Caenorhabditis elegans: one gene and its partner. The protein of the gene in region 1 purifies or fractionates together with the protein of each later gene. This does not show direct contact. Each region holds a gene or a part of one and is shown in the gene's direction. Other genes may lie near its edges. The genes, in order: C29E4.17 and clec-265.

Region 1 (2,975 bases):
TACCTAACGAAATACGTGGATTGGGGGCGGAGCGTTGTCAATTGACCATACATCTCGTTTCCATGTCGATTACAAAAGGGCTCTCATCATCGATAATGATATTTCAAAAATATACATTTTCAGCGAACTCGATAAAAATGGAGATGGGATGATCAGTTTCAGCGAATATTCAAAGAAGTTCTCATAGACTCGAATATTGCTTTTTAATTTTACTCTATAAATTAACTTTCTACCTATTTTTGTGATTATTTTTAGATTTTAATAAAAATTTAAAAAAACTCACTTGACATTACTGGATGCACAGCAGGTGGTAAGAGTCTTATCGCCGCCACAGGGAATTTCTCACAGACGCCAACATCCACAAAATGGCACATGACTTGTCCGGATTGTGGTGGCTGCTTGGCAATTACACGAAACCATGTTCCATTCGAATCTTGAAGGGCATAAGCTCCACCAGCCACAATTTCCTGTAATTAATGAATACAGTTGTCTCATTTATGTAAAAGTACCAGGGCTGGGCATTTTTTGGATTTTTCGAACCAAAAAGGCAACAAAAAACCACTTTGGAACTCCAAACGTTTTTTGTAGATCTACAAAGTATATTTTACAAGTTTCGGGTTTTTTATAGTTTTTAATTCGTTATCCGAAATATTAGTTTTTGAATTCTTTTATTCATCTTTGTATGTTTATCAAAAAATATTTACGTTTTTTAATTGTTTCAACAACTTCAATTTTTTTCTTTTTTCGTCGGAAGCCAGTTGAGCACATGAACTTACATAAATTGCAACTCGACTATCGAGTGCCGATGGCGGAGTTTCTTGAGCATAAATCTCAGCGAGCGTAGTTCCAATTTTTTCATACTGATCGTCATCCGCGAGAGCTCGAATAAAGAATCTCTTTGGCGAATCTGCATAGACGATTGACACAGTTGATCCTTCTTTTAGAGCGACAGATTGTTGAGAAAGCTGAATATTAAATAAAATTGATCTTAAAAAATTGAATTTAAAAAACATACCGTTTTTGCATGCTCCGTTGGCTCATTCTCTTTTCTTTGTTTAATTTTTTTCAACTCATCCGCAGTTGGTTCTCGATCCGTGGAAATGACTGAATAAGTATTGAATGTTTAAATGTTTCAAAAAGAATACAAAATATTTTTAGAAAACATTTGGTGCAGAACAAAAAACAAATTACGAGTGAGTATATAATTACACAACGATTAGAACTCACTGAAATCGGAATTCAATTCCTCCATATTCGAATTAAGGTTAGAGAAGACAGAGGGGGCGTGGTGTTAATGCGAATTGGGCAAGCTGAAAGTAGGGATTAGATGAAGCATCAGCAGCAGGAGGCTTTGGATGATGGGATCAATTTCATGCAATGAAGGGATAGGCTAAGCAAAGAATAAAGGGGATTGGACAGTAAAGAGGTGATGTTAATTAAGTCGTTGAAATGTGAGTATATATTAGGTTGGGAATACTTATGACCGAGTAAATAAATAGAAGAATTGGCGGGAATTTTTAATTTAATCGTTTGTAATACTGTTTGAACAGGTTCCTTTGATTTAGCAATTATTTACTTCATCACTTTTGAAATAATCAGAATTAATTTCTAGTATATTTTTTTTGAAAAACGTGAACTTCATATTGTAGTAATTTTTTACAACAGTGGTTTGTCAAGGGACGTTTTCCTTTTTTTTTAACAATTTGTGTTTCAAAAAGCTATTGATGAGGTAAGAATTTTGTTTCGACGAATCTAAAATAGTCTTAAATTAAGAAATATCATTTAAAAAATCAAAAAAGAATGAAAAATTATACACACTTTTTAACCTATCAGACAGATTTTTCATTTCTTGTCGATTTTCATCATTTTTTCGTATTTCATGATTATTTTGAGTAATTTTAAGTAAACCCCTCATTTTCCGTTTTTTTTGCAGTTTACCCAATGAAATAATCGAATGGATTTTCTTGGGATCCATCCTGTTGCTCACACTTTTCTCAATAATTATGGGTGGTTATTTGACAATGCGGATTAGGAGGGTATTTTCTTTTTGAATTTATTCAGTTAATTCTAAATATTTTAGATGGGCGGATTCAATCTGAAAATTTCATACAGGCCACCGGATTCTGAAGCAGAAACTAAGAAGAAGAAAAAGCAAAAACTAATTATTTGATTTTTAAATATTTTTCGAATAAAAATAAATTAGTAATTTTACTAGTAACACTTCAAACTAATAATTTAGGTCGAGGGACAAAGAGACATAGAAAGGACAAGAAAAGGACAGTTATTCTGTATGTGTGTCCCCGTTTTCCGACAGCATGTTCACATAATTGTTATTTCTTTTCACTTTTTGAGTGTCTATTTAAATGTATTCAGAATGTATTCATTCACCTCGTACATTTACTGAATTTATGGGTGGTCTTTTGAACGATGATGTGTTTGAGAGACGGACGAACAGTATGGTGATGGGGCCGCGTGTCTGGAAATTGCTTTTTTTGGAATAATTTTTTAGTCTTTATTTCTCGAAAAGTAGCGGTTTTCATGAAAAATTACGATAATGGGTCTCGGGACGATTTGAAATTATTTGCGCTACAATATGTGAAGAGTACTGTAGTTATGACCATTGAAGTCGTTTTTTTTGTTTTTGTTTGTGTCGTACTCGTGTCGTACTCGTGAATGGCGCACACTCTTTTAAGTTTTCAATCGCGTCGAGACCGGGTACCGTAATTTAGGTGATATAATACTTTTGATAGCTTAGAATATACCTGAGCTTCAAACTCTTCTGCAGCAGTGACTTGCTGAATCCAATCTTCGGGAAGTTCACGTCCAAGTCCTTTTGAAACAAATCTGAAAACCAAAAAACTTTTGAATTTTCTAAAAAAAACAGTAATTACTATCAAGAGCGCCATCGAAAATTTTTCGCTTTTTCTAGAAAAATATCGACAAATCGAAAATTTATCAAAAATACATAGATTTTG
Region 2 (3,747 bases), on another chromosome or scaffold:
GTCCTTTGCGCTAAGAATGGCGATCACTGCTTCAAAAACATTCAAAATACGATCCTAGTCACAGAAGCGATTGGAAAAATTTTCCACGGAGAAGTATTTTAAATTATTTTTTTACAACTTTCTCAAATTTTATTCTTACAGAACACAGCTCATTCGATTTGCTCTGACGTCATGAAGTGTGAAGGCAGTTTGTTTGAAAATGGTCGATGCTTTCGTGAAATATCAATGTTATCAACATCATTGATCTAAATATTTGTTTTTCAATTGTCTATCCTTGTGTTCTTTCCCTAATTTCCAAAGCAACAAGTCCAATATGTTTTACATCCACTAATTTTCTCATCTCGCTCTTTGATATGTTTTACAACTGTGCAATGTCTCTAGTAAATGGAAAAATATATTACCTTTCAAAATAGATGGCTGTTGATCTCGTGAGTTTCTCTCATGATGATTTCTACCAGAGCATACTTGTGATGGATGACGATTGGCTCATGTGATGATTCTCTTGGAAGCATTGACGAGTGAACTCTTTTTCTGATTCGGTATAAGCCGTCGGATCCAAGGTAAATATCTAAATCAGTACCGAATTTCGAAATGTTGTTTTCCATTTCGCGGTAATGTTCCTGGATAATGAATTTTTGTGTCATTCGTCTTTGTTGCAGCAATAGATTTGAATTCTAGCGTTAAAGGAGAACAACGGGATTTGCGGCGAGAATCGTAGCTGATTTTGGAGGAACGACGGAAGAAAGAGTAAATCTATGGATATGGCAACGCAATTTTCCGGAGACAAGCGAAAAAGGACAAAAAGGACTCTGTGTTGGCTCCCACTGATGTCTCGTGAACATGAGCACAATCGGAAAACCAAAGAAGTTTCGACCGATGGAAGCAAATAATTCCGAGGTGGAGTACCGAAATTTGAGACTTTGCGTTTTAGACACAAAATGACGCAAACCTACCGAATTTCGTAACCAGACGTTCTGAAAATTTTTCAAAAAAAAAAATTATGGGCGCTCAAAGTTTTGGAAAAAAATGGCCCTTTTTAGCTAAAATCTCAAATTTTTGATAACTTTTCAGTGTCGCAGCGGTTGGAACTTAATTTTTATTTGATTGTCATCCTTTGCATGTTTTGGCATTTTATTACGTGTTATTTTGTTGATCGAAATGTTTTTTGGTTGATGCGGGCACAATTATGGTACCAAAAACGCATCTCAATTAACAAAATAACACGTAGTAAAATGCCAAAATATGCAATTAAAGATGACAATCGAATAAAAATTAAGTTTTTTGGTCGATGCGGGCACAATTATGCAACGATTTATATGTTTGTATACTTATTTGAAAACAATGAAATATCAGCAAACAATCAAACACTAATATGCTTTTGACCACCACCGCAAAATAATTTCCGTTTAAATATAACTTCTTGATAATACGACTACAAATGCTGCTTCCAAATTATTTCCAAAAGGTTATCATTTTTAATTAATCAGTGACATTTTCATAAACCGCGATAAAGTATTTCAAGAAAGACCAAACTCCCTAATGACGATTCGGAAATTGAAATCATCATGCAATTATGGTGCACTGATAACAGTTGTATAAAAATCGTCATCGGAGGCATTGATATCGCTCGATTCGAAAATGTCGCAAAACTTAATTTTTGTAATTTCTCTTATTGCTTCTGTGTTTTACTGCACAAATGCTTTAACTTGCCCAACTGGAACAAAAATCTATAACGCAAAGTGAGAATCCGTTCTTATTCGAATTGCACTGTTAATACATTTGTTTAGATGCTACGCAGCTCTTGGCATGGATATGACTCGGGATAATGCCCTTGCCTACTGCCGGAAGACATACGGACCATATGCCAGACTCACCACACCCCTCACGTATGCTGAGAATAACTTTGTCACTGAACAAGTTCAATGTAAGTTTAAAACGTTTTATCTACATACATTTGAATTATTGTAGTACATGCTAATTGGCACACTTGGCTCGAATATGTAGCTGATGGAACATATATTGTTGGAGATGACGGAAAACCACCAATCTACACAAACTTTGCAGTTGGTAAGTTCAAAAAGCTTTCAATTGAACATTTTGTTCACCAGTCATTTTGTTTCAGGAGAACCATTCAGTGTAAACGTTGGTTATTGCATCACAATTGGAATGAACGGATACTGGTATGCTCAGCCATGCCCAGATTCTCACAGTGTACTGTGCGAATTTGACCTTGTGCCACCAACCCCGAAACCAGTGCTCACCACAACTGTAAAACCAAGTGGATTTCCGAGCTGTGTTCAAAAGTATTTGAGTAAGTTATTTTTCTGGAGGATTTCCAAATTTATTAATTGGCTCTTCATTTCAGACTTTGTTCCATGCCAATCCGGATGGGAGTACTATCCACCAACATGTGCTTGTTTCAAGATTATTTCCAACACTACCTATTATAATGCTATGAACACTTGTAGAAGCATGGGAGGAACACTGGCTTCTGTTCATAATGCAGGAGAAGCTGCTTTCATTAACCGTAAGATTTTGCGCTAAAATCAATTATATATGTACTTATATTCGAATTTTCAGGTCTTGGAGTCCAAGCGAATTCATATTGGGTTTCTACCGCGACAGCTAGAGACAACATTATTATTGGGCTAACTTATAACTCGGACCGTGGATACTTCCAATGGGATGACTCTACTGTTTTTGACTATGCTCAGGGATTCGCTCCAGCTGAGCCGGCCGACTATACTAGCCAGGGACAGGTACTAATTTTTTTGAAACGGCATTTTTTTCAATGTTTGTTGTTTTCAGATTATCTTGAACAATCCGATGGGGTATGCAACCTACATGAGAATGGGCAACTGTGCCTATCAAACATGTCGATATGCAGCATGTAAACGATATGTCTATTAAAAGTGTTCTATTGATTTGTTTCTTTATTCTGATGAAGATTTTGTATTGCTGTTTTCTAATATGTTGTATACTTGAATGTGCTTCATCTTGTATAACATTTCATAAAATTTCCCTAAAATACGGTTTCAACATAAATTATCCGTTTGGATAACCGGATTTTTTCATGTTAAATGTTTCACAAAGTGTAAACTTATTGTTATAAAAACGTGTCGTTTTTTATGTGTTCGGAACCAAGAACGGAAATAAAAGTCATAGAATTATACAAAAACGTTCTCAGTTTTATCATAAATCCATTCGGTCATTTTATCCATATGATCTCTACACATTCCACCAGTGCTTGTACAAATAATTTGTGTTTCCCTGAAAAAAACTACTTTTCAATTTACTTTTAGTCAAACTTACATTTGCCGAACGCAATTGTTCAATCCTTTAATGAAATCAAATGAGAATACGGGAAGCGAACCATTGAATATTGTTATAGCCTAGAAACATGCAGATTTCCATTTGGTCCTCACGGCGTGTTGAAAATAGGGCTTCCCATAAGGTCGCTGCAACAGCGCCCGCGACGGCCTACACCCACTTGTATCCGAATTTATAGTGCGGCACGGAACCCCGAACGTGTCGGCCGCTTCCAAATAATTACCTTTCACACTTCATTTCACACAAACAAAAACGACAGGCGTCGGCGTGAGGCCCGCATTTCGCGTTTCACTCAAGTCAGCTGGGAGTCCTAGCTGAAAAAAGAAACTCACAGTCTTTTGCATACTCGCAACATGCGCTGAGGTGTTGTTTGGGAAATATGTGAACAGCTTCTCCACTTCCTCTCCTCTTTTCCAT

The links.
Region 2: the proteins of C29E4.17 (region 1) and clec-265 fractionate together in Caenorhabditis elegans (co-fractionation; one large-scale study listed by BioGRID). This does not show direct contact.

What each region holds. Positions count from the first base shown.
Region 1 is NC_003281.10:7,920,814-7,923,788, forward strand, and holds C29E4.17 (Spiroplasma plectrovirus-related protein), read left to right. Parts: upstream 1-1,693; 5' UTR 1,694-1,724; coding exon 1,725-1,729; intron 1,730-1,933; coding exon 1,934-2,036; intron 2,037-2,080; coding exon 2,081-2,170; 3' UTR 2,171-2,206; downstream 2,207-2,975. Other genes in the region: Putative protein tag-250, read right to left, coding at 284-467, 777-965, 1,016-1,104, 2,389-2,476, 2,763-2,844; C29E4.14 (EF-hand domain-containing protein), read left to right, coding at 124-187.
Region 2 is NC_003284.9:3,030,158-3,033,904, forward strand, and holds clec-265 (C-type lectin domain-containing protein), read left to right. Parts: upstream 1-1,625; 5' UTR 1,626-1,638; coding exon 1,639-1,739; intron 1,740-1,787; coding exon 1,788-1,924; intron 1,925-1,968; coding exon 1,969-2,067; intron 2,068-2,122; coding exon 2,123-2,311; intron 2,312-2,365; coding exon 2,366-2,527; intron 2,528-2,580; coding exon 2,581-2,759; intron 2,760-2,808; coding exon 2,809-2,910; 3' UTR 2,911-2,960; downstream 2,961-3,747. Other genes in the region: M02F4.2 (Nucleotid_trans domain-containing protein), read right to left, coding at 3,168-3,270, 3,313-3,392, 3,663-3,747.